Linked DNA regions of Macaca mulatta. The protein of the gene in region 2 purifies or fractionates together with the protein of the main gene of each other region. This does not show direct contact. Links are inferred from orthologs where the notes say so. Each region holds a gene or a part of one and is shown on either strand. Other genes may lie near its edges.

What was found.
Region 1: the proteins of EFTUD2 (region 2) and DNAJC17 purify together in Homo sapiens (affinity purification with mass spectrometry; 4 studies listed by BioGRID and IntAct, with this or other methods). This does not show direct contact. The link is inferred for Macaca mulatta from reciprocal best matches to the Homo sapiens genes EFTUD2 and DNAJC17.
Region 3: the proteins of EFTUD2 (region 2) and RUVBL1 purify together in Homo sapiens (affinity purification with mass spectrometry; 4 studies listed by BioGRID and IntAct, with this or other methods). This does not show direct contact. The link is inferred for Macaca mulatta from reciprocal best matches to the Homo sapiens genes EFTUD2 and RUVBL1.
Region 4: the proteins of EFTUD2 (region 2) and TOP1 purify together in Homo sapiens (affinity purification with mass spectrometry; 3 studies listed by BioGRID and IntAct, with this or other methods). This does not show direct contact. The link is inferred for Macaca mulatta from reciprocal best matches to the Homo sapiens genes EFTUD2 and TOP1.
Region 5: the proteins of EFTUD2 (region 2) and PPIH purify together in Homo sapiens (affinity purification with mass spectrometry; 3 studies listed by BioGRID and IntAct, with this or other methods). This does not show direct contact. The link is inferred for Macaca mulatta from reciprocal best matches to the Homo sapiens genes EFTUD2 and PPIH.
Region 6: the proteins of EFTUD2 (region 2) and PRPF31 purify together in Homo sapiens (affinity purification with mass spectrometry; 4 studies listed by BioGRID and IntAct, with this or other methods). This does not show direct contact. The link is inferred for Macaca mulatta from reciprocal best matches to the Homo sapiens genes EFTUD2 and PRPF31.
Region 7: the proteins of EFTUD2 (region 2) and PRPF8 purify together in Homo sapiens (affinity purification with mass spectrometry; 9 studies listed by BioGRID and IntAct, with this or other methods). This does not show direct contact. The link is inferred for Macaca mulatta from reciprocal best matches to the Homo sapiens genes EFTUD2 and PRPF8.

Annotation. Positions count from the first base shown.
Region 1 is NC_133412.1:18,126,749-18,130,248, forward strand, and holds part of DNAJC17 (dnaJ homolog subfamily C member 17), read right to left. Parts: intron 3,362-3,500; coding exon 3,292-3,361; intron 2,964-3,291; coding exon 2,905-2,963; intron 2,671-2,904; coding exon 2,583-2,670; intron 1-2,582. UniProt on the Homo sapiens protein: May negatively affect PAX8-induced thyroglobulin/TG transcription.
Region 2 is NC_133421.1:69,270,413-69,274,352, reverse strand, and holds the start of EFTUD2 (116 kDa U5 small nuclear ribonucleoprotein component), read left to right. Parts: upstream 1-1,140; 5' UTR 1,141-2,072; intron 2,073-3,631; exon of another isoform or gene 3,632-3,753; intron 3,754-3,940. UniProt on the Homo sapiens protein: Required for pre-mRNA splicing as component of the spliceosome, including pre-catalytic, catalytic and post-catalytic spliceosomal complexes. Component of the U5 snRNP and the U4/U6-U5 tri-snRNP complex, a building block of the spliceosome.
Region 3 is NC_133407.1:155,874,757-155,878,256, reverse strand, and holds part of RUVBL1 (ruvB-like 1), read right to left. Parts: intron 2,020-3,500; coding exon 1,956-2,019; intron 569-1,955; coding exon 370-568; intron 1-369. UniProt on the Homo sapiens protein: Possesses single-stranded DNA-stimulated ATPase and ATP-dependent DNA helicase (3' to 5') activity; hexamerization is thought to be critical for ATP hydrolysis and adjacent subunits in the ring-like structure contribute to the ATPase activity.
Region 4 is NC_133415.1:93,964,259-93,967,758, forward strand, and holds part of TOP1 (DNA topoisomerase 1), read left to right. Parts: intron 1-912; coding exon 913-1,035; intron 1,036-2,753; coding exon 2,754-2,941; intron 2,942-3,500. UniProt on the Homo sapiens protein: Releases the supercoiling and torsional tension of DNA introduced during the DNA replication and transcription by transiently cleaving and rejoining one strand of the DNA duplex.
Region 5 is NC_133406.1:198,100,205-198,104,219, forward strand, and holds the start of PPIH (peptidyl-prolyl cis-trans isomerase H), read right to left. Parts: upstream 2,801-4,015; 5' UTR 2,760-2,800; coding exon 2,694-2,759; intron 2,362-2,693; coding exon 2,297-2,361; intron 1,979-2,296; coding exon 1,955-1,978; exon of another isoform or gene 1,862-1,954; coding exon of another isoform or gene 1,836-1,861; intron 1,686-1,835; coding exon 1,641-1,685; intron 326-1,640; coding exon 283-325; intron 1-282. UniProt on the Homo sapiens protein: PPIase that catalyzes the cis-trans isomerization of proline imidic peptide bonds in oligopeptides and may therefore assist protein folding. Participates in pre-mRNA splicing.
Region 6 is NC_133424.1:66,351,068-66,354,567, reverse strand, and holds part of PRPF31 (U4/U6 small nuclear ribonucleoprotein Prp31), read right to left. Parts: intron 3,070-3,500; exon of another isoform or gene 3,065-3,069; coding exon 2,967-3,064; exon of another isoform or gene 2,880-2,966; intron 2,778-2,879; exon of another isoform or gene 2,149-2,777; coding exon 2,042-2,148; exon of another isoform or gene 1,843-2,041; coding exon 1,673-1,842; exon of another isoform or gene 1,378-1,672; intron 1,101-1,377; coding exon 943-1,100; intron 780-942; exon of another isoform or gene 327-779; intron 1-326. UniProt on the Homo sapiens protein: Involved in pre-mRNA splicing as component of the spliceosome. Required for the assembly of the U4/U5/U6 tri-snRNP complex, one of the building blocks of the spliceosome.
Region 7 is NC_133421.1:3,233,291-3,236,790, forward strand, and holds part of PRPF8 (pre-mRNA-processing-splicing factor 8), read right to left. Parts: intron 2,466-3,500; coding exon 2,336-2,465; intron 1,943-2,335; coding exon 1,746-1,942; intron 1,484-1,745; coding exon 1,277-1,483; intron 1,143-1,276; coding exon 979-1,142; intron 828-978; coding exon 701-827; intron 588-700; coding exon 395-587; intron 116-394; coding exon 1-115. UniProt on the Homo sapiens protein: Plays a role in pre-mRNA splicing as core component of precatalytic, catalytic and postcatalytic spliceosomal complexes, both of the predominant U2-type spliceosome and the minor U12-type spliceosome.

The DNA.
Region 1 (3,500 bases), on a different chromosome or scaffold from region 2:
TTAGAATCTCCTTTTCTCTCTCTCTTTTTTTTTTTTTGAGATGGAGTCTCCCAGCACTTGCTTTTTTTTTTAATAGAGAAATGGATATTGGGATGCTATATGCACACATTAAAATATACAGATGTTGAAGAGCAAGAGGAAAAGGAGAAAACTTAAGTAAAGAATGCTTGGACTGGGCCAGGCACAGTGGCTCACACCTGTAATCATAGCACTTTGGAAGGCCGAGGGGGGTGGATCACCTGAGGTCAGGAGTTCAAGACCGGCCTAGCCAATGTGGCAAAACCCTGTCTCTACTAAAAATACAAAAATTAGCTGGGTGTGGTGGAACGCAATTTAGTCCCAGCTACTCGGGAGGCTAAGGTAGGAGAATCGCTTGAACTCAGGAGGCAGAGGTTGAAGTGAGCCGAGATTGTGCCACTGCACTCCAGCCTGGGCAACAAGAGCGAAACTCCATTTCAAAAAAAAAAAAAAAAGGCTGGGTGCTGTGGTTCACGCCTGTAATCCCAGCACTTTGGGAGGCCAAGGCGGGCGGATCACGAGGTCAGCAGATCGAGACCATCCTGGTTAACATGGTGAAACCCCATCTCTACTAAAAATACAAAAAATTAGCCAGGCGTGGTGGCGGGCGTCTGTAGTCCCAGCTACTCGGGAGACTGAGGCAGGAGAATGGTGTGAACCTGGGAGGCGGAGCTTGCAGTGAGCCGAGATTGTGCCACTGCACTCCAGCCTGGGCCACAGAGGGAGACTCTGTCTCAAAAATTAAAAAAAAAAAAAGTGCTTGGACCATGCTGCTATAACCAGTGATGTTTTTTTAAGTGAGAAAAAAAAAAAAAATGCTTGTACCAATCTTATTGGGTTGATGAAAATGTTCCAAATCTGATTTATAGTCAGAGTTGCATCATTTGGTAAATTTACGAAAAATCATTGAAGTGTAGACTTGAAATGGGTTGATGTTATGATATACAAAGAATACCTCAATAAAGCTATTAGAGAAGAGAAAGCCTGGACCTCTTTGAATCCTTCTGAGGGAGCTTCTCAAAGTGAAAACTCTGGGTAGGAATTGGGTTTAGAACAAATTAAAAGACCCAGCCAGGCACAGTGGCTTGCACCTGTAGTCCCAGGTACTCAGGAGGCTGAGGCAGAAGAACTGCTTGAGCCCAGGAGTTTGAGGCTGCAGTGAGCCATGATGGTGCCACCCTAGCCTGGGTGACAGTACAAAACCCCGTTTCTCTATTAAAAAATAAAAAAAAAAAAGATTCAGCCAGAAATGGTGAATACAAGCACCAGTTTTTTGTTTGTTTGTTTGTTTTTTGAGATGGAGTCTTGCTCTGTTGCTCAGGCTACAGTGCAGCAGCGTGATCTCGGCTCATTGCAACCTCTGCCTCCCGGGTACAAAGCAATTCTCTGCCTCAGCTTCTCGAGTAGCTGGGATTACAGGCGCCCGCCACCACACCCGGCTAAATTTTGTTTTTTTAGTAGAGAAGGAGTTTTACCATCTTGGCCAGGCTGGTCTTGAACTCCTGACCTCGTGATCCACCTCTCGTGATCCACCTCAGCCTCCCAAAGTGCTGCGGTTACAGGTGTGAGCCACCGCACCCGGCCACAAGCACCAATTTTACTCACCCTGGATAAGTTTAAATCCCAGCTCCAGCAAGCTCTTAAACTTTTGGTGCCTTAGCTCCTTTGCCTATAAAAAATGGCTTCAGAGGCCAGGTGCGGCAGTGCACAGTTGTAATCCCAGCACTTTGGGAGGCTGAGGTGGATAGCTTGAGGCCAAGAGTTTAAGACCAGCCTGGCCAACATTGTGAAACTCCATCTCCACAAAAATTGAACAAAATTAGCTGGGCATGGTGGTACACATCTGTAGTCCCACTACTCGGGAGGCTGAGGAACCAGAATCACTTGAACCCAGGGGGTGGGGGTTGCAGTGAGCTGAGATCGTGCCACTGCTCTCCAGCCTAGGTGACAGGGTAAGACCCTGTCTCAAAAAACCGTGTTTTTTTTTTTTTTTTTTGAGACAGAGTCTCGCTCTGTCGCCCAGGCTGGAGGGCAGTGGCGCGATCTCGGCTCACTGCAAGCTCCGCCTCCCGGGTTCACGCCATTCTCCTGCCTCAGCCTCCCGAGTAGCTGGGACTACAGGTGCCCGCCACGGCGCCCAGCTAATTTTTTTGTATTTTTTTAGTAGAGCCGGGGTTTCACCGTGATAGCCAGATTGGTCTCCATCTCCTGACCTTGTGATCCACCCGCCTTGGCCTCCCAAAGTGCTGGGATTACAGGCGTGAGCCACTGCGCCCGGCCCCAAAAAACCATGTTTTTAAAAAAGGTTTAGTACCCACACTTCCTTGTACAGTTATGACAATTAAAGGGACAATAAGGCATTTGTCACATGCTTAGCTAATATTAAACCTCATTATTATTCCTAAGAGTGTCTTTAGGAACCAACCTCTAAGAGCAGCATTTTGCCCAGAGCCTGAGCCAAAAGGCTTTGAGATGAGTTGCTGGAAGTGAAGCTTCAGGTGAGGGAGATGAATGAAAATGGCCGCAGGAAACCACAGGCCACCGAGCACTATGATGGCACCTACCAAGCTTCACTTTCTTCCTTTTTTCATCTAGTTTCTGGGTCCTCTCTGCTGCCTGCTTCTTGGCTTTCCTGACCTTGTCATATGCAGCCTGGCAGGAGAAAGGGGCACAGGGCAGAGGGTCAGCCGGAGAGTAAAGACAGAGCCCCAGCAATCTGCCTGGCCCCTAGCCCAAGGGCCATCAGAGTGGCAGCCTGGTGACTGGGTCTCCTGGGCTGAGACAGCAAGGACTGTGCCACATGGCAAAGGGCAGAGGACTGAGGTTGAGGGGCAGCAGTAGTCTCTAATCAAGGGGGACGATTCCGATGAAGGAGGCTATGCTTACCCTTGCTGCAGCATCAGTCAGCACCTCCAAGGCCTGAGAAAGCTGGTGGAAGAGTTCAGCTAAACATAAGGATCAAAAAGAGAGAGAAGAAAAATAAAGACTTTGTGATGGTGTGCTCCCTCAAAAAAACAAACAAACAAAAAACACTTAAAAAAAGCCACAGGATGGCAGAAAAGCCGACATCAGCAGATGACAGACCAATTAGGAGGGGTGAGCACCTCAGCAACTGACCAGACACCCCTAACATGAAGGGAAGCCCTGGGACCCACGGCCCGGAGCCAGGCTGTGTGTAAGTACACCCCACAGCACTCACGTGCAGAGCGTACATCAGGAAACACAGGCCTGGGTGAGCGGCTCTTTCTCCCCATGCCCTCAGAAGAGTCTCACCTGCTCTTGGATTATCTGGATTTTTGTCTGGGTGGCAGGAGAGGGCCTTCTGCCTATATGCCTTCTTTACCTGGAAGAGTCAGACACAAGACACTGTCATTCACTCTCATCCCAGGGACAAACAGGAAAACCTTGCTCAATGGGTAAGGGGAATCCGACACACACCTAAAAGAGAAGCTGCTGACGCCCACCTCCTAGCCACCGGGGAG
Region 2 (3,940 bases):
AAGCAGAAGGGGCAGAGGAAGGAGCTCAATGACCCGATCCCAAATCCCTCTGTCCAGCCCAGGGCTGGAACAGAGGTCCCTAGGTACCTGGGCAATGTCTTTAGTTCTACCACTGTACTTCTGTAGCTTCTGCGTATCTGAGGCTGACTGATTTCTACAGAGATATTCTTTTCTTTTTTTTAGACAGGGTCTTGCTCTGTTACCCAGGCTGGAGTGCAGTGGCATGATCTCGGCTCATTGCAACCTCTGCCTCCGGAGTTCAAGCAATTTTCGTGCCTCAGCCGCCCGAGGAGCTGGGACTACAGGCGTGCACCACCACGCCCGCCTAATTTTTGTATTTTTAGGAGAGACGGGGTTTCATCATGTTGGCCAGGCTGGTCTCGAACTCCCGACCTCAAGTGATCCGCGCGCCTCGGCCTCCCAAAGTGCTGGGATTACAGGCGTGAGCCACCTGCAGAGAGATTCTCTACGTGGGTTCTAGTCGTGGCTCTGGCATTTACTTGTTGTGGGACCTCTCTGAACTGCAAACTCCTAGTGAGTTGAGTTAGATTTTGTGGCGGGGTCATCACCAACAGCCCTAGCGCAAGGAAGCAGGAGGTCCCCAACCAATCCCACAGCCACCCTACCCCAACGTGGGGAATCTGAACGCCAAGAAGGGGCTGGGCTGGCCAGTAACCGAACTCAAGTGTCCAGTTCTCAGCCCTCCCCAGGCATTTACTAACCCTTCTGTCCCCTTACTCAGCCTCCTGGACCTTCACCCCAGCAGCCCCGTCCTTGGTCCCCTTGTTTTCTTTGGAGATCCCCTGATAAGTCAACATGAGAGCAGCCCCGCGCAGACCACTCCCGCAGCTGTGGTTGCCCAGCAACTGCGCTAACAGCCTGGCCACGTGATCTGCCGGAAGGCCCCCCCCCCCATTTCAGGGTAGTCCCGAGGCGCCTGATCAGATTCGTTCATCCTCAGGTCTCACCCTCTTTGGAGCAGCCCACGTCTTGGGCTACTCGTCTTGGGGACCGGCTACTCCGCCTTGCCAGTTCCTGTCTCCGCGAGGGCATACCTCGGAACTGGTCCTCAGGCGGAGGGTTGTCCTCCCGGGCAGAAAGGCGACAGCGGCGTCTGCGGGGTCCTTCCTGGCGGCGGGCGCAGACGTTTCTTTGGCGTGGGGCGGAAGCGCGTTCTCCGGCGGCGGCCTCAGAACTCTTAGCTGAGCAGGCGGGAGGTAAGTTGAAGCGGGTTAGCGGCAAGGAATGGTTGCTCCAGGTGGGATAGGAAATTAAAGAGCGTCAGATCTGGAAGAGGCCTTATATGCTATCTGCCCCTTTTGCTTTACGGATGGGTAAATTGAGGCCTGGAGCGGAAAAAATAATGGAAGATCCTCTCCTCCGCGTGCCTCCCCAAAGCTTTCGAAGCGCGCACGCACGCACACACCTCGATTTCGGGGCTGCCTCTATAGCCTCAGTCCGTAAAATCGTATCCCTAGGAAGGAGTGTTGCTCTAACTGTCCAGTCCCGTCGCTCATTCCCTTTTCCATCTGTGCCGCCTTCAGCCGTTCTCTGCCAAGTTCCCTCCGACGTTCCCTTTGAGCGCCTGCATTGTAGCGGGAAGCAGCAGTGAGGTTTGTTACCATGAGTCGCTAGTTTTGTGTAACTGTGGGCAAATCAGCTATATTCTCTGTACCATGTTAGAGTCACTCATTAGTTCGATAAATACTTATTGAGGGCTTAGTCTACGCTAGGCACTGTTCTAAGTAAACAAAACAAGCCCTTGCTTAAACTGTAGTTGGGGAAATGAACGGTAAACAACTAGATAGAAGTCAGCTAATGATAAATGTATAACATTTGTGAATAACAATAAAACAGTGAAAGTGGGAAGTTGGAGAGTATGTATGGGGGACTTTTTAGAGTGACAGAGAAGGTGACATTTTAGTGGAGACTTGATTGAAATAAAGGGACAAGGTGAAAATATCAAAGGGAAGAGCGTTTTGGACAAAGAGAATGGCAAGTGCAGTGGCCCTGAGGCAGAACTGAACTTGGCTTGTTCCATGAACAGCTTTATATAAAATTTTTTTCAATCGGCCGGGCGCGGTGGCTCACGCCTGTAATCCTAGCACTTTGGGAGGCAGACTCGGGCGGATCACCCGAGGTCAGGAGTTCGAGACCAGCCTGGCCAAAATGGTGAAACCCCCCCTCTACTAAAAATACAAAAAAATTAGCCGGGCGTAGTGGTGCACGCCTGTAGTCCCAGCTACTCGGGAGTCTGAGGCAGGAGAATCTCTTGAACCCAGGAGGCGGAGGTTGCAGTGAACCAAGATCGTCCCGTTGTACTCCAGCCTGGGCAACAAGAGCAAAACTCTGTCTCAAAAAATATATATAAAATAAATAGATAAATAATTTCTTCAAGCACTTGACTGGGGTCTTGGGAGAATGAGATAAGCATAAATGCGATAATAGCTTTTTGGAAGTAAAAAGAATCTGTATGCATGTGAAAGTTTCCATAATAATTTACATTTAGTTATTGGTCCTTGGAGCTCCGATTCTCTCTCTACATTCAGCACCCAGCAGATGGCATTGAGGGAGGTGGAGGTACCAGTCTAATCCAAGAAATATCAGCATCTTAAAATTAAACATCCCATTCAGTTAACATTTATCCAGTTTCTACTTATGCAAGGTGCTGTCTTGGCTGTTGACTGTGTTAGCATTGGTACTTTTTTCTCAACTATTTAAAAATGTAAAATGCAGCTGGGTGCGGTGGCTCACAGCTGTAATCTCAGCACTTTGGGAGGCCGAGGCGGGCGAATCACCTGAGGTCAGGAATTCGAAACTAGCCTGGCCAATGTGGTGAAACCCCATCTCTACTAAAAATACAAAAATTAGCCAACTGAGGTGGTGGGTGCCTGTAATCCCAGCTACTTGGGAGGTTGAGGCAGGAGAATCGCTTGAACCTGTGAGGTGGAGGTTGCAGTGAGTCAAGATGGTGCCACTGCACTCCAGCCTGGGCAACAGAATGGGACTCTGTCTCAAAAAAATAAAAAAGTAAAATGCATTCTTAGCTGGAGGACCATGCAAAAACAGGTGGAGGGGCCAGATTTGGCCACAGGTCAGAGTCTGTGAATTCTTGCCCTAAAGTATTAGGAGCTGAAGAGGCATTGTGTCAGCAGCTTACTGTCAAATATTTGGGGAAAAGAAAGTTATTTGTACTGTTCTTGCCACTTTTTGGTATTATTTTAAAATTAAATTTAGTATCATAAAAGAAGTGAAGGGAAGAAGCAGATGCATGGAACACAGGGTTCTCATGATCAAGGATGGCAAAAAATAATGCTAGCTGTTTATTGAGCCTGGAACTCTGGTAAATTCTTTACACAGGGTGTTTTTTGTAATCCTCATAAACATTTATTCAGTGAGGATTATTCATTCCATTTTCCAGTTGAGGAATAAGAATCAGGTTTGGAGAGATGAAGCAACTTACCTGAAGTTACATAGTTGTTAGTGGCAAAGTTAGAATTTGAATCTAAGTCTTCCAACTCCAGAGCCCTGATGCTCTAGTCTGTTATTTATTGCTTATAAACTATAGTTGGTGATGGTAATTAGTACAGTTAACTACTATTTGTTTATTTATTTATTTATTTATTTTGAGACAGAGTTTTGCTCCGTCGCCCAGGCTAAAGCGCAGTGGTGCAATCTCAGCTCACTGCAACCTCTGCCTCCTGGATTCAGGTGATTCTCCTGCCTCAGCCTCCTGAGTAGCTGGGACTACAGGTGCGTGCCACCACACCTGGCTAATTTTTTGTATTTTTAGTAGAGATGGGGTTTCACTGTGTTAGCCAGGATGGTGTCGATCTCCTGACCTCGTGATCTGCCCACCTTGCCCTCCCAAAGTGCTGGAATTACAGGTGTGAGCCACTGCACCCAGCCAGTTAACTACTATTTAAGACAAAATTAAACA
Region 3 (3,500 bases), on a different chromosome or scaffold from region 2:
GAAAAATGATGTCAATAATGCCTACCTCTCAGAGTGCAGGTGAAGCCTGAAGACGTTCATGTGTATAATGTCACCAAAGGCTAGCCCTGTCTGATCTCACCTTTGTGCACGCCAATTGAATGACCAGATTGTAGTATCACACCCCAGAGATCACATGGGAGACCCTCATCATGAGTGAAAGGGCAGCTGCTGCCTTTGGTGACTAGGGAAATGAGACCAGAGGCAAGCCACTTGGCACGTTTTCCTTCAAAAACAACGTGACCTCCCCTCATCCCCATTCCACCTCGTGGGGTTTAGCGAGATCCTGAGGAACAAACGAGCCCAGCTGGAAGGTAAAAAAGCCTTGTGGCTGGCAGGCAGCCATCCTACCTGATGACACAGTTGCCTCGGTTGGATGCAAAGATGACGATGGGGGCGATAGAAGACTCCAGAGCGCGGTGCAGGTAGGTGAAGCACTCAATGTCCAGCATGTGGACCTCATCAACAAACAGCACACCCGGGACCAGCTCAGCAATGCCCTGGTCGATGTACTTGTTCACCACCTTATTAATCTCCCCTCGAAGTTTGTCTAGGAGATGCAAGGATCGGCAGGCAAGGTCAGCACAGGGCTGGGAGAGACTATCGCCTTTTCTCCTCCACCTGAATTCAATCCAAACCCATGCTGGGAGCCTAGTTTTCCTACTAGCTATGTGATCCCTGACAGGGTGTGTCCCCCCACTCCAGGCTTCAGTGTCATCATCTGAACACAGTGATAATCACACCTAAAGGTCACAAAATTGGTAGCCTCCCCCAAAAGATGTGTTTGGTTAAATGTAAAAAGGTAGCACGGGTGTTCTGCATGGGAATCCCTTCACAGCACATGCTCACTGCTGTCACACTCCCTACCATGCCTTATCACCTCCCACACACCCAGTGTAGCTCTGTCTGATCTGGGAGACACTGGAGTTTAGGAGCCCTGAGTGAAATGAGTTTTCACATGCAAATTTTCCTATTCTATACTCAGTAAATGACCCTTTCTTTTGGTCCCATACAACAATGCTTAGGTTAATTAACTTTCAATCAAGTGCCTGGAATAAGGAAGTGGGTGCTTTTAGAATCCCGAGCAGAAACCTTCGAGGAATGAAAGGCTCTGAAGAAAGGCCCAATCTCAGAGCTCCTAGAGGGATGAGTCTCTCAAAAGTTACATAACCCAGCTAAGGTCTCAGTGCTCATTTTCCAAACCAGCTCCTGTGTTATTGTCAGGAGGGAGCAGCTCACAAACAGAAAACTGGAAGATCTGAGGCAGCGTCTTCCACCAAAGGCACAAGGCCGGGATTGTCCGAAGAGGATGCACACTGAAAATCATGTGAAAAGAAAGAAACTGCTCCTGACAACTCAAACAGAAAGGTCTCAGATTGCTGCCCTGGCTAAAACTTTAAAGATAATATTTGCTTTAATGTTTAACTAACATCTTAAAGTGACGAAATTGTAGGTAGAATTAGAAAAAAACAGCAACAGGAAAGCTGGGAAGAGCCGCAGGGTAAAATAAAGGTTCACAGGAGAGCAGCAGCAGTGTCCCCTGTGGAGCTCTAGGAAGAGCCCACGAACTGGGCAGGGCAGTGCGTGGAGCTGGTCTGTGAAGCTGCCCTGTGCTCTACTAGGGAGGGGCTGACAGCACCAAGGCTCCAGAGTCTGTGCTCGGGCAGAGCTGGGCGAAATAAATCCACATTTCTGGGGCCTCATAGGGACCAGAAACTGTGACTGCAGTGGGGCAGAGACCACACAGTGTGCTTGCTGTATGGCTGCCTAAATAATGCCAGAGACTAAGGCTAGAGTCAAGCTCTGAACTATGAGGAAGAAGGAACTGTTCTGAGGCATTTTCTCAGGGTGGATGTGCTCACAGAGCCGCAAGGGCATCTCAGAATGTAGGGCCCTCCACCCTGCCCCTTGCTCGCAGGCCACGCTGGTTCTCCTACCTGTGATTTCTGTCTTCTTTGGCTTCATTAGCTGGCCCATCATGGACAGGATATCTTGTCCCCCCTGCATAAGAGAAGACTTAGAGTCAGTGCTGCTTTGTAAGGTGACTACAGAAGCCTCATCCCCCTGCATCCCACTCATCAACTCAACATGGGATCCTGAGGTAAGGAGACCCCTCCTCAAAGCCTGAGGAGCTTCTAAACACAGAGGAATTTTTAGAGGTTCCCTTGACCTGTAAGAATCAAACAAAATCCTTTCATGGTAAGTATAAGCTCCGTGGGGCCTGCCCAGCCTCCTTCTCCAGCCCTATCTTTTTCCAATCCCTTGTTCCTTGATTAGCCACATGAGACTACCAGCCCTGCCCTGGACACCCGCAAGCTCTTTTATGACTCGATGCTTTTGAGTCTATTCCATCTGCCAGGAATGCCATTCTCCTTCCTAGGAAGTTCCCAGTCATTAAAGTTCAAGTCAAATGCCCTCTAGGGGGCATTTGACCCTAACCAGACTCATGACTTCCTCCCAATGTTTCTGTGCCTTTGGGGACACACGGACTACAAGAGTAAGTATAAAGAGTAAGTATAAATATACCATGATTATACTGCTGTGCCTCCTCTCACTAGATTTGACCACAGGCTTGCATCAGCCTAGTCCTTACTTAACCTAGAGCTACTCAGTCTATGGGCCCCTCCCTGTGGAATGGCTGACTCCATAACAGGTTCACCACTCACCTGCATCCTCCTATGGGCTCCTAAGAGTGCAGTCAGCAAGAGGAAGAGGCTGGTGTTTGGTCATTTGTTCAGCATTTAGTGATCACCTGTTAGTTACCAGGCCCTGAGACACAGAGGTGCTCACTAAATGCTGAATAGCTAAAGGCAGCAAATGTTTCCTGTCTGGTCCTCAAAACTGCCTTGCCAGGTAGGAGAAAACTCAAAATCAGAACCCTAAACCACAGAAAACCCAGAGACCCAAAGTGACAAATTAACCAAGCTGGTCAGTGATGGAGCAACACAGTTCCTGACTTCTGACTCCCAGCCCAACACTCTTCTCAGGTCAAGGGCTCCCAGGAGTTCAGTTTGCGGATGGCCACTTCACCAACCGAGGGGACCTGTTGCTCCAAAATAAGTCTTCAGTAATCTCTTGACCAAAGCTCCAAGGAACAAAACACCCACGGATCAAATTTCAAGTCAGAAAACAAACTATTCCCTAATAGTGAAGAGGTCTTTTTTAGGATGAAGAGGAAACCAAACTGCAAGACCATCACAAGAAACAGTGGTGTCTTGTTTCTTTTAATCACATATTTCCTACAAATGCTGTAAAGTGATAACATCCTTTCCTACATTTTACTAGTCAAGGCATAAGTATCCATCTGCATGAGAAGCAGACAACAGTACCAGCTCAAAGCTAAAACACTGTGGCTTTTGCTAAGCAGGGGGAAAGAAAGAGCTTTGTCAGGCTTTCTGAAATCCTGTAACGGGCTCACAGAACACTCCTGCCCTCCTGCCATTAACACCCAGAGAATCCCAGGCGTGAGCCCACTGCTGGAG
Region 4 (3,500 bases), on a different chromosome or scaffold from region 2:
CATCCTGGCTAACATGGTGAAACCCTGTCTCTACTATAAAATAGAAAAATTAGCCGGGTGTGATGGCGGGTGCTTGTAGTCCCAGCTACTCGGGAGGCTGAGTCAGGAGAATGGTGTGAACCTGGGAGGCGGAGCTTGCAGTGAGCCGAGATTGTGCCACTGCACTCCAACCTGGGTGACAGAGCCAGACTCCGTCTTAAAAAAAAAAGAATACTCGTATATCTTTGCTATCGGCTGTCATGTGATGGCAGGTAGGGGGTTATGAGATTAGGCCAAACAGAAAACCTCAACTCTAGTTGCGCATAGGAAAGTTTGTCTCTGCAGGACTGCCCAGTGTCTGCTGTTGCAAAGAGAAATGTTAATCTGATGTCCCACTCCCTGTTCACTCCCTGTTAATTCTTGCTCATTTGTTCTAGGTACTTTCTACTCTTGAAACAACATATACTATATTTGCCTAGGTGATTTTTTAAAATCTCATTATTCTCAATTTGGATAATGTGGACAGAGGCAGCAGTAAAGTTTACTTCCTGAACTAGCTCTGAAAAGCAAATTTAATAAATGAATAGAATAGGGGTAATGTTTCTAAGAGAGAATCAGTATGGAATTCCAAACTTGTATTCATGCGCCTGGGGACAGTGTGCCACGGAGTCTAAGAAACCACATAAGAGTTCATTTTTTTCCATGATAAGTCATTTTAAAACATTTTGATATTATTAAATACATATTTTATAATAAAGAAATATTTTTTATTCTGTGTTTTTTTGTTTTTTCAAAATTCATTAATTGAGATTGGCTACTTCGAAAAACCTTTGACTGAAAAAATGGTGCTTGGGTATATTCGCAAAGAAACCCAAGGACTTACTAGTGTAGTTTAGTTGTTTTTCTTTCATCTCCCTGTTTTCTTTTGACTAGGAAATGACTAATGAAGAGAAGAATATTATCACCAACCTAAGCAAATGTGATTTTACCCAGATGAGCCAGTATTTCAAAGCCCAGTCGGAAGCTCGGAAACAGATGAGCAAGGAAGAGAAACTGGTACTACAGAATTTATTAAACCTCTGGAGAATTTTGGAATCGTGATTGGTTCATTTAATTTTCTTCTTGGTTCTTACGACACAACACTTAACATCAGTAATTTCACATCATTCTGTGCTAAAGACTTAGAATTCTCAAAGTCTAAATTTTCTTAAAGGTTTTAGTTAGACTGAAAATTGTGAATAAGTACTTTGCTCAGTAGCTCTCTATAGGAACCCTGGTGCTTCAGTGACCTAAAAACCAGTCAGTAACTCCAGCCAATAATATAGTAATTAAGGATGGACAGAACTGTCCCACAGTGGCTACTGGATATTAAGGATTTAAGACAGATGAAATCATATTGGCCATATACCTTCCTGTTCTTTTATCTGTTTTACTGTGGAATCTTGCAGTGCTCATCCATCTCCATCTTCCAGCCTTGGCCATCCTCATTACTGAAGAATTTTTCTGGTATCCAGCTGGGATGTCATTTTTCTTCTACAGGCTGCCTGTTTTTGTAAAAAAAGAAAAAAAAAAAGAAAACAAAAGTTTATTGGAACCAGCTGCCCCTACTTTTCTACATATTATCTATGGCTGTGTTTATGCAACAATGACAGAGATGAGTAGTTGCAAAAGAGAGTAGTTGCAAAAGAGACTGTGTGGCACTCAAGCCTAAAATATTTTCTATCTAGAAAAAGTTGTCAGCCCCTAACTAAAGGAATCCAGGCTAGAATTTCATTTTTTCCAATCGGAAGTCTAGAAGTTAAGGATTTTAAGGAATTTTTTGCACTTCAAATTCCTGTAGTTTCAGTATTTTGAAGGACTTGCATGTTTATATAATTCAGGCCATTGTATTTATATAACTCATTGTTTCATGGTACTTATTTGGCCACTAGTTTAAAAATTAATGTGTTACTATAAGAATGTTAATTGCATCAGACTTTCTGTCTCAGGTAAATCTTATCCTCAATATTCCAAGTTAGTGAAATTTAGTATATTATTTACATCGGGGCATTTTGAAACTTAAAAGATCACTTTGGAGCTTTGTTCTTAGAATACTGATCCAAAGATAGATTTTATAAACATCCCCTTGTCAGAGTCCCTGCAAGGACACCTGCTGCCAGCAAGGTCTGTTCCCACCCACAAGGCAGCAGGGCTTAGTTAAATTGAATCAATAAGTATATAAAAAGAGTCAATAGAGGGTAAGGAGGCTCAAAATCTTGCCCACCATACCCCACCTTTTTGGAGCAAGGATCATAGTATAGAGCATTTAACCTGTATACCTACAAAAAAATTAGTGACAGATCTGTCTGGACTTTAAAACCCATGTTTTTAGCTGTTTAACTGCTGTTTTAATTAAATGGCTCGAGCTATTCTTTTATGAGGCTCTATCAGAGACCCCTCTCCATTTCCTGTTTTGATAGTACTCAATAAAATAGTACGAATTTTTAAAGTACATTTAAAAACACCCAAACAACATTTATAAACATATATCCTTTAAGACACAGGAATCAGTTTTGAATCTAGTTGAAATCAATCCTTATAGGCAGATCTTTTTGGGGAATTTTATGATATTTAAGTTTGAGAAAACCACTAGAGGTTTTCCTTTATTTGAATTCATTTTTTAGTCATTTTCAGACTTTTCTCTATCTTGACCTAGTCTCCCACAAGAGATAAAAATGTATTAGTAGAGAACAGCATCGGAATCTATTTTGAGTACTTTCTTGGCTGTCTTCCAGAAAATCAAAGAGGAGAATGAAAAATTACTGAAAGAATATGGCTTCTGTATTATGGATAACCACAAAGAGAGGATTGCTAACTTCAAGATAGAGCCTCCCGGGCTTTTCCGTGGCCGGGGCAACCACCCTAAGATGGGCATGCTGAAGAGACGAATCATGCCTGAGGATATAATCATCAACTGTAGCAAGTGAGCTCGCACTTCATCCTGTGGGCCAAAAAGGGGGTGGAGGGTGTCCTTTATTGTACTTGGGAATATTTCCCAGGTTACACAGGACTGTTTGGGAAAGGAGATACTTAAGAGCAGGACAGTATTTCATGCATAGGTCTCCAGATGTTTTTGAGGTACAATAGTCTCCCCTCATCCACAGGGGATATGTTCCAAGACCCCCAGTGGATACCTGAAACTTCGACCCAACTGCTGTCACTTGGAACACATTTCTGTTGATGTCTTCCACCCCCAAATTTAAAGCCTTTTCCATCTTTATTAAGTACTTACCACATACAGTGGCTATAACTTTTGCAGTCTGAGGTGCAACAGCAAAACTAGCATGACTTTCTTTTTCCTTCTTCACAGTTTCACAGATGGAAGATTCGTTTTTACCTTAGATCTCAGCAACTTCAGCATACAGTTTTTTTTATTAAGTCGATAATTTTCACCTTTTCATTTAAAGCACTCTACACCTTCTCTTTGGCATATCCAAATTGCCAACATCAATACTTTCGCACTTTGGGGCCTTTATTAAGTA
Region 5 (4,015 bases), on a different chromosome or scaffold from region 2:
ATCTACAGGGTATTCTTAAAAAGTCCAATTTCTGGCTCAAAAAGGCTGAGATTTGGACCATGGAAGTTAATGCCTCAATCAAAGTGCTAAAGTCTGTTATCTACAGTCAGTTGTACCTAGCCACTTCCAAGAACTTCCCCATCACCATTCTCTCCAACACCCCCATCAAACCTGGCTATTGTTCTCAAGCCTTAAGACTGGGTCTCTGTAGTAAAAACAGCAATTGCAACGATAATAAAAACTAAAACTACAGGTCTTTGATAGAAAAGGAATAGTACTTACATTAACAAAATCTCCACCCTGAATCATGAAATCCTTTATGACCCTGAAACAGAGAGCAAAGAATACTGAGAGAAGATTTTATGGAGACTTTGTTATTATTGTATTAGATTAACATTGATTTCAAAATACACTATAACTTTGGCTATTATAAAATCACCATTCTTAGCTGGGTGCGGTGACTCACGCCTGTAATCCCAGCAGTTTGGGAGGCCGAGGCAGGCAGATCACATGAGGCCAGGAGTTTGAGACCAGCCTGGCCAACATGGCAAAACCCCATCTCTACTAAAAATACAAAAATTAGCCAGTCGTGGTGGCACATGCCTGTATTCCCGGCTACTTGGGAGGCTGAGGCAAAAGAATTGCTTGAACCCAGAAGGCGGAGGTTGCAGTGAGCCAAGATCATGCCACTGCACTCTAGCCTGGGTGACAGAGCGGGACTCTGTCTCAAAAAAAAACCAAAAACCAAAAACCAAAACAACAAAAAAAGAAGATTATTCTTTTCCTGGAATGATTAAGCTGAAAGGATAATTAACCATAAAAAAGGATTTTAGTTATAAATTAGGGCATGTTAGAGTTGATCAAGTGCATGATCTGGTACCTGAACAGTAACAAGAAGAAGGGGCTGAAAGCCTGCAGGAAGAATGACCACATTACTTGCCAAAGCAAAAGGCAGATCAAGGATTTGATGTAAATTTGGGGCAAAGAACTACAGAGAATTTATGTGAAAGGTACTGCTACACATGTAAGGGCTTAACAATTGTTAGCTATTACCCCTAGGGAGGGTCCTTAACCTTTGTTATCCTCAGTTTCCTCCTCTGTAGAATGCAGATCACACATACCACTTCACAGGAGTCTTACTGGGGATTAGAGACCCACAGTTCTAAAGCTGTGATATAATTATGTGCTAACATTGTTACTAACCACAGTGAGGCCATGAGAAAGATTCTATATTGAAATGAGACTAAGTGTTGCCATACTCCACTCCCCAGGAAATATGATTATCCTTGGACAATCATATATGATCATTTTAGGAATTAGTTATAAATAGCAACCAGCAGGATATATTATATGCACTTTAGGATTACAAGTGTACTTCTTTAAAAATCTGCATTTGCACAAACAAGTGCATGAAAAAGACAGGATATTGTAAAGATGAGTAGTTTCTGTTTTAAAGACATAAGAAGTGGGAGAGTATAAGTAGAGTTAGAATATTTAATAAATCTTCAGTTATTGAGTCCACAAAAACATTTCTTCTTAAGAAATGTAAGAATTACCTCTGGTTTTATTTTCCTCTAAAGAGCCTAATCCCCCAGGAAATATTTCTGAAAGACTCTAGGATGGCTTGCCAAAAGCCTTACCTGTGGAAGGTGCTTCCTTTGTATCCTATTGGAACCCCATCTTTTCTATAACAAAAAGAAAGAGACTTGGAGTGATAGCAGGTAGCACAAGGCCTTTCCAGTTTACCATGCACTGGAGCCAAAAGGACTCTCCTAAAGATGGTTGACAGACATAAAGAAGGCAAATAAACTAGGGACAGACCCTTGGGGCATTACCTTCTATCACTGTCACCAGCAATCATTCAAGGCCAGCAGCTGGTTCACCGATACCCTCACCGCAGCCCCAGAACACCCTTCTGGAGCAGGCAAAGAAGTCAAACACATCTGAAACTGACCTGAATTCTCCGGTGCAGAACTGCCTGAAAGGGACAAAAAGTGAACAATTCAATCACTATGACATCACAGTCGTGACCGCCTCTAAAGACGGGAAAGAATAAACAATGGAGCCAGCAAGTCCACCAATCGGCCAGCCAGACGTCCAAACACGGAGACGTACAGACTAACAACGTAAATTAACACGGGAACAATCCAAACGGCAACCAGACAGAGCAATGCACGGAGGAATCAGGTCTCAAGAGCAGTGAGCGGACGGACAGAGGTAGACAGGCTATTCAGGCGGCTGACTAGAGCCCGACTTCTGCCTCAGCTAATCCAGCGGAACTGGAGCACGTCCTTACCTAAAGTTCTCGGCCGTCTTAGGCACAACGTCTGCAAAGAGCTCGATCTTCATGCGGCCAACTTCCTGCAATCAGCGGGAGACTGTCAGAAGGCCCAGTCCAAGACCATGAGGGCTTCACGGAGCTGGGGGCAGGATGGGCTGACCCACCACCCTGCCGCTCGGTATCACCCACCTCCGCCTCTCTGGTCTAACCGCCCAGTTCCTCCAGAAGCGGGGCGCTAGGATTGGGGAGACTTCTCCTCATTTCTCCCCGCCCTGCAGGTCGGTAGGTTCGGGTGCAATTTCGCTTTCTGGCTGGCTTCCCGAGTCCGCTCTCTCTGGGTGAGTTCTGCCTGCCTAGCTAGCCCCGAGCAGTTTCCCTTCGGCGCAGGTGTGGGTAGCGTCCTGGATCTCACCTGACCGCCAATGCTGACATCAAAGAACACCACGGGGTTAACAGGACTTGAATTTGCCACCGCCATGGCTCCGACCCGGAAGCAGAAGTCGGGAGCGTGGGATTCCGGCGAACCTAAAGCCCTGTCCGCGGGTTTCGTCCGGGGAGCAGGCGCGGTGGACGCCGAGAGAGACCGGGCCCCGCCCCCGGAAGCTGTCGCCCCGTGCCGTGTGTGCTGAGGCTGCTGGGGTCTAGCTGGGAGACTCTCCCTGAGACGGGGGACGCGGGAGTGAGGAGGAGGAAAGCCTTGACATCTTTTTGGTTAAGGTCGATGGTCACCCCACTCACGTGGCTGTACTAAGGGCAGTACAAGTTGATCTTGCTCTAGCTAGGGCTTTTGGACTAGGCAGTCGCCAGGGTCCTCCTTATCGGCTCTTGCAACCAAGCCCTCTACACCGCCACACGTGCTGTGTCTGTCTTCTGCCCGCTAGTCTGTGAACACCGTGAAGGCAGGATCTCTGGTTTGTTCATCCTCAGCGTTTAGAACAGCTTGGCACGTAAAGGCTTGCTAAGTAAATATTTGTCCCTTCCTCTAAGTCAGGACAATAGATTATGTTTCCGTTCTGCCACAAGCTCCCAGTTTGGTCATTTCCAATTCGTTTCCCACAGAGTAACTAGAGTTTTTTATTTTTTATTTTTAAAATACCTCTTGTGATTCCTATTTATTTTTAAAATAACTCCTGGCTTCCTATATTTAGAATAAAATCCAATTCTGTACATAGGAAGCCCTCCAGTGCATTAATCTGGCTATTACCTACCTGACCTCATCTTGTACCACTTGCCCTTAGTTACTGTGCTCTGACCTGTCTGCTCCTCCAGGTCACTGAGATCCCTCCTTTCTTTAAGGCCTTGTAATAGCTGTTTCTTCTGTCTGAAATATTCCTTCCAGATCTTAATGTGGGTTGGCGGGGTGATGGTGGGGTTTGGTTGGGCTATGTGTGTGGGAAGTAATGCTCCTTGTAGTTCAGGGCTCACCCCAGATGTTACCTCCTCAGAGGCAACATTAGACCTAATCTAAAGTAGCCCTTGGTCACTCAGATCACTGGTTTGTTTTCTTCATGCCACCCCCCATTTCACATTTGTATGGTATGTGTCTGCACCTCATTTCCTGCCACACACACATACATCTTCCTCCCTAATAGCATATAAACTCCATGAAAGTAGAGACTCTCTCAGTCCTGTTCGCAGCTGTAGCTGCAATGTCTCCTACTGAATAGCACATAGTAGGTAAATATAATAGATTCAATGAATTTAGTGAAAGAAGGGGAACTTGGGCAAGACTCA
Region 6 (3,500 bases), on a different chromosome or scaffold from region 2:
TGAGTTATGGGGCATCACCTGACCTGGAGACAGACCAGCCACACGGCAACACAGTCGTGTCTACACAGCAGAGCCACAATAAAGACTGAACACCACGGCCCAGGCAAGCGTCCCTGGCCCAGGCTTAAGTGCAGTGGTGCAATCTTGGCTCGCTGCAACCTCCGCCTCCCGGGCGCAAAGTATCCTCCCATCTCAGCCTCCCAAGTAGCTGGGATGACAGGCAAGCGCTGCCACACCGGGTTTTTTATTCTTGTAGAGACAGGGTGTTTCCAATCCCATTGGAATCAAGACAAAAAAAAGAGTCGGGGTCTCACTATGTTGCCCAGGTTAGTCTTCAACTTCTGGCCTCAAGTGATGCTCCCGCCTCGGCCTCGCAAAGTGCTGGGATTACGGGTGTGAGGCTGGCGGCCCTGTGTGTGCTGTCAGGCATCGATGCCGGGAGGGTGATGTGTCCTGACTGCGGGGAGAGGACACATCGCCCTCCGAGGTTGGTGACCTCTCCTGCTCCTCCTGTGTGTCTCTCCCTGTGGCTAATGTTAATCTGTTATACAGTCCCCAGCACAGCAGCCCTCAGGGGTTCCGTGTCTTTCCAGTGACGGTGGCCTTCGGAGCAGCTGCTAACCCGACGCTGCTTGTCGTGAGCTAGGCCTGCCTTGTGAGGGCCTCGTCTACATGGAGCCCTCGCCCCAACTCGTGAAGCAGGCGCTGTGCTCCCATTTTCGAGGGGAGGAGACTGAGGCACAGGGCACTCACGCCTCTTGCCCACAGTCACCCGACAGGTGTGCTGCAGAACCCTGGCTCTCACATCCCATGCTACCCTGTCCCCGGCTCCTGAGTGCTACTGTCAGCTGGGCCAGATGGTGGGGGTGGCTGCTCAGGCCGTCTGGGCAGGCGGAAGGCTCCAGGGGAGCCGGGGGAGGGGCTGTGACGCGGTGGGCTCACCGGGGGCAGGGACTGCACAATGTCACTGTGGTAGATGTAGCCGGTGTGGGGCAGCACTGAGGTAGACGAGAAGCCCGACAGCGTCTTGCGCTGGGCCCCGAGCAGCATGATGTTGCAGGCGGGCATCTTGGAGAGGTTGGTCAGGCCGCCGGCCACGCCTGCGGTGGGAGGAGGACAGGGGCGGTCAGAAGAAAGCGGGGGAGGCGGGGGTGCGCACATCTGCCTGGGGGCTCGACATGTGCCAAGCACCTTTACGTGAGGTTCTGGCTGGATTCCTCGGTGGCCCTGCCAGGCGGGCGACCTGGCCCATTCCGCGAGGGGCAGACGCAAAGGAGGCTCAGAGAGGGAGGGCAGCTGGCCTGGGGTGCAGGGAGGAGGCCCCCAACAGGCAACTGACCACCACGTTTGTGCTAAGCCACACTACCCCCATTCCAGGGATGTCTGTGTTTTGGAACCATTTTCACCAAACCAGGAGCCCCCTGACAACAGGGCCTGGGTGTGGTCATCTCTGGCTTTCCGGCACAGGGGAGGGAGGAGGAGCTGTGGGTGAGTGTTTCTCCCAGACGAGGCTTTGCTGTGTGCCAGGCTGGCTGACCTCTGTCACGTCCAGGGAGACGGGGTGTTGAGGCCCAGGTGCCAAAGTCCCCATTCTACAGAAAAGGGAAGCAGCTTCCCCCAGATCACAGTGTCAGCAGAGTCCCGCTCCATGGGACCCAGCCCAGGGCCTCACCCATGATCTTGGCGGCCGTGGACGCCCCAATAATGATGGAGAGGTTGGGCGCGATGAAGGACATCCGGGACTCCACGTACTCGTAGATGCGGTGCTTGGAGGCGTTCAGCTCCAGCGCCATGTCACAGGCCTCCTCCAGCCGCTCCAGCTCCTCCTCCGACAGCTGCTGCCTGCAGGGGCGGGTGGGCCCAGCCTCCTGGGTCTCCCGCCTGCTTGGTGCCCAGCACCCACCCTCTCAGTTGTGTGTGTGTGCACGTGTGTGTGTGTGTGTGTGTGTGCGTGTGTGTGTATGCCCACCTGCGTGGGTAGCTTCAGCCTAATCCCCAGTCCCACTGGCCCGGGCCCGGCGCCTCCCTCCAGCGGACATACCCCTGGGTGGTGGAGGCGGTGACGCTGACGACCATGATGGTGGCGTTGGTGAGGATCTGCTGCAGGTTCTCATTGTTCTTGCACTTGTCCAGGCTGTTGCCCAGCTCCTGGGCGCGAGCAGAGAAGACAGGGGAGGCTCAGGAACTCAGGAAGGCTTGAGAGCCTCTCTGGCCCTGCACCTACTCGGGTCTCTTCTCGGGGACACTGGGAAAGTCAGGGTCTCTACACTGGGGGCCTCTCCTGCCTCCACCGCCTGAAGCATCCACACCGTCTGCTCTGCTTTGGAAACGGAACCTGGGCAGAGCAGCGTCTGGGAAGACCGCGGCCTCACAAGCCTCTGCCTGTGTCGAGTCGGAGCACAAACCCGCGGCCTCGCTTCCCTGCGGGGGCTTCCCCCACCACCATCCTGATCCTTTCCCGGACACACGTGGGGACCGCCTCCTCTCCCTGCCCTCACCTGCATCCGCCCCTCTTTTCCGAAACCCTTCCTTGGCTTTCTCATAAGACCCAAAGGCTCAGTGTGATCCGACCTCTTCCGCGTCCCCTCCTTCCCCGCCTCACTTCCTCCCCGCTTGTTCCCTCTCCGGCTCTCCATACTTAACACATCTCTCTCCCCCAAATCTCCGCGTGCCTGCCCTGTGACGACCTTCGGATGTCAACTCCAATGCCACCGGCTCCGACCACAGCGGAAGCAGCGCGGGTCAGGCCAGCGGGGAAGCCCTCTCGGGAGACTGGGGTACGAGGGGAGCCCTGAGAAAGTCCCATCCAGGCTCCGTCCCTCTCACCCTGGGCAGAGCAGGCCACTGAGCCTCCGTCCACTCCTCTCCTTCACCTCCAGACCCCGAGGCCTCTGGGGGCGGGTCCAAGAGTGAGCCCTGCCTGCACCTTCACACCAGCAGAAGCACCGCTCCTCCTCTGCTCTCACCTTGACCGTGCGGATGTAATCCAGTGCATTGGGGACCAAGGACTCCAGTTCAGGGAATCTCTTCGAGTACTTATCCCGGATGAACTTATGGATGATGTCTAGGGTAAACGGGACAGGCGGGTGTCAGGTGAGACGGGAGGCAGACTCTGCTGGTTGGCCCTAACACCCACGTCCCCTTCTTCCTTTAGTAACTGAAGCCCTGGCTTGTAGCCTGGCATACGGGCACCAGCATACAGGCTCCATTTTTCAGCCGCCCTTACCGCTAGGTGTGACCAGGGGAATTAGTTCTGGTCTGTAAAATGTGAGCTGCAGTGACATGTTCTTAAAAAAAAGAAGTGCCTTGCTGGTGGGAATGCAGAGGCGACGGCTGGACGTGGGGCAGTCCCCTCGCACCACGAGGCAGGTGGCCGACCAACAAGATGGAAAGGGCTGGGGCCTTACGGGCAGCCAAGCGGCCACGCCGTCCCCGAGTGCTCGCTCAGACTCATACGCGAGGGAGCCACGCCGTCCCCGAGTGCTCGCTCAGACTCATAC
Region 7 (3,500 bases), about 66 Mb from region 2:
AGCCTATTGAGCAGGGTCAAGTCGATCTTCTCATACATCTTCTCAAAGCGGGACTCCAGCATGACATTGCACTCGCCTTCACTTGTCTCCCACACGTCCTGCAGGTTATTGATGCCTGAGGAGTAGCAAGGCAGGTCTCCAGCAGGTTAGAAATCCTCTTTCAGGACTAGCCCCACAGTAATTATCATCACCTTCCACAACCAATCCCACTACCATTCCACGTAGTCATCCGGATTGCTTTGACTATGGGCTTTCCTCAGTTTAACAGGAACACTACTTCCTTTTACTACCATGCATCAGGAGAGTAAACCAATCATGCTGCCCAGATGAGAATTTTGACATAGAACTAAATTCATCCCCCATTCCTCACAGGGCAATCTCAGGAAAGTTCTACCTTGGCACCACTTGTAAACAAGCAGTGGAGGTGGTTCTGTGTCAGCAGGCTTAATCCAGGGTGGGAACAGGCGGCGCTTGTCGGCTTCATACCACAGGTATTGGTCCAGGTAGGCATCAGTTATCTTCTCCAGTGGCTCTACGTCGTATACTGGAACCAGGTGGCTATAGAGATCCATGAACTCAATGCCCACCTGTGGTACAAGGAGGCTGGTTCACACCAATCACCTGAGGCAACCTGCTACCTTTGGTTCTACCAAGAATGAAAGGCAGAACCAAAAAGAAAACTTGGGAGGCTCTCACTCACCTCTTTGAAGGCTCTCTGTGTGAGGAGGTGACGCTTGATGCGGGACAGCGCCTCGTGGGGGTTATCGTAGGCCTGCTCAATCAGACCTAGCTCCTCCCTCTGTGACTGGTTCAACCGAGACTTCACACTGATAAGGCAATGGGAACGGTGAATGGGAAAACCAGGAGGAAGTAAAACCAGAAGAGGCTGGGGCTACACCTTCTTTCTTTGGACTCTGAGGGTGATGCTATTCCCTGCTGTCACCTTCCCAGCAGGAACCTATCTACCCTAATACTCACCTATAAGCTTCCTTGAGCCGCTCCAATGCCAAGATGAGCAACTTGGTGTCATGCTTATAGGAGAGTGGGGGGAATGGGATGGGTGAGAACCTGCGGCTTTCCAACCAATGCACTGTGGTGGTATATACTGCCACTGCTTCCTCCGCCGTGATGTAAGGCCCGTCCTGCAAGGTGGACATGAAATTAGCCTCCCGCTATAGCCCACTCCCTCGAGAACAAGGTTCAGTCACAACTCTGCAGTCCTCCCTCATGCCCACTCCCCGACCGCTCACAGCCAGCCCAGCCTACTCTGCCCAACCTTCAGGTAGTTGTGCTGCCGCTCCTGTTCTGCCTTCAGATACAGCCGGGTGAGGCGGCCCAGGTTCTTTTTACACACAGTCTTGTCCACAGTGGCCCCTCGGCGGATCCGTTCTCGGTTGTAGTGGGCAGTGTTGGTCCACCAGTCAGCCTTGGCCTTCACATATCGAAGGATCATATTCTCTATGGGCGTTGGCAGTCCAGGGACCTAAAAGTCCAAAAAGCACAATCAAGCCGGGATAAAGCAGGTGCTGCGGTGCACACCTGTAGTCCCGGCTACTCAGGAGGCTGAGGAGGACTGCTCGAGCTCAGGAGCTTGAGCTTGAGGCCAGCCTAAGCAACACAGCAAGCACCTCTCTAAAAGAGAAAAGAAAAGAGGTGGGAGCCAGATAGGCCCTTCATGAGTCCCAGAGTGGTGATCCTGACCTAAAGACGATGTTCACCCTCCAAGGAAATGCAGAGACGCCCACCTTCCAGGGAATGTTGGCTTTCCAGCAGCGCCAGGCTTCACTGAGGTGCTGGAGGATTGTGCGGGCCTTGTTCTGTTTGATCCCCTCAGGCATCATGTCCAGAATATCATGCATCACAGCTGCCCGCAGCTCCAGGTCGAAATGTGACTCCACTCGCTGTTTTGTTACTGTCTTTGCCACCCCCTTTGAGTGTCGACCTAGAAGTAGAGTATCCCAAGGGGATTACAAGCATGATTCCTTGCTTTCAATAAGGATCTCTACCTTCATGTCCCTCACTTATTATGGTCACAATAAAATTAGGTATTAACAAAGCGTCCATGTGCCCAGCATATGCAAAAAGATGAGCTACCTTAAACATTCACAACTACGCTTCTGAAGAATGTCCACTCCTGCAAGTGCATGATTGCCTCTCAAGGCCCCAGAAGGAAGCCCAAGAAATAGAAAACTAGGTCAGACTCATTTTGAGAACTGAACCTGAAGGCAATCCAGTAGGAAGGGGTGCTCATACAAGAGCAGGGAATAGACTCAGACAACAAGAGGTAGCTTTGAAGCAGTAACAGGAGAAGTTGGACACAGAGAAAACCACTCACCTTCAAATTGCCGGGCCAGGAGGTTGCCCAGCCATCGCTCCAACAAAGGGGTAATGCCACGCATGAAAAACAGCCAGACTCGCCAACCAGCAGCCCAAAAGCCACAGCCAGGACCCTTCCCTACAGGGCCCTATAATCCCAAGCAGAAGTTAAGAACACAAGTTAGCAATGCATTTAAACAGCAACAGAAACCTGGGCAGAGGTGGGGCATATATGTATAATATACATACAGGCCGGGCGCGGTGGCTCAAGCCTGTAATCCCAGCACTTTGGGAGGCCGAGACGGGCGGATCACGAGGTCAGGAGATCGAGACCATCCTGGCTAACACGGTGAAACCCCGTCTCTACTAAAAAATACAAAAAACTAGGCGGGTGAGGTGGCGGGCGCCTGTAGTCCCAGCTACTCGGGAGGCTGAGGCAGGAGAATGGAGTAAACCCGGGAGGCGGAGCTTGCAGTGAGCCGAGATCGCGCCACTGCACTCCAGCCTGGGTGACAGAGCCAGACTCCGTCTCAGAAAAAAAAAAAAAAAAAAAAAAAAAAAAATATATATATACATATATACATACAGACGAATATATGGATGGCAGTAGAGGAGTAAAAAGAAAAAAACAACTCTGGGTCCTCAACATCTAAACAACATCTAAAACAAAAGGGTAAATGAGAAACCTTAAGGCAAAAACCAGGAACTAAGACTGCCCATGTGAATTTAAAGGGGCAGTAAGGATACACTCATAGCTGGTCTCCAAATAGGTCCCTGGAAAGAGCCCTGTCTACATGTATAAATGAAAAAAGATGTGAGAAAGTAAGTCCAGTGAGGCTGCGTACAGTGGCTCACGCTGGTAATCCCAGCACTTTGGGAGACCAAGGAGGGTGGATCACCTGAGGTCAAGAGTTCAAGACCAGCCTGGCTAACATAGTGAAACCCCATCTCTACTAAAAATTCAAAAATTAGCCAAGCATGGTGGTGCGCGCCTGTAGTCCCAGCTACTCGGGAGGCTGAAGCAGGAGAATCGCTTGAACCGGGAGGCAGAGATTGTGGTGAGCCGAGATCGTGCCATTGCATTCCCCCGGGGCAACAGAGCAAGACAGTCTCAAAAAAAAAAAATAGATAAATAAAAATTTAAAAAAAAAAAAAAAAGCTAGATTACAGGTAGCGGGCACCTG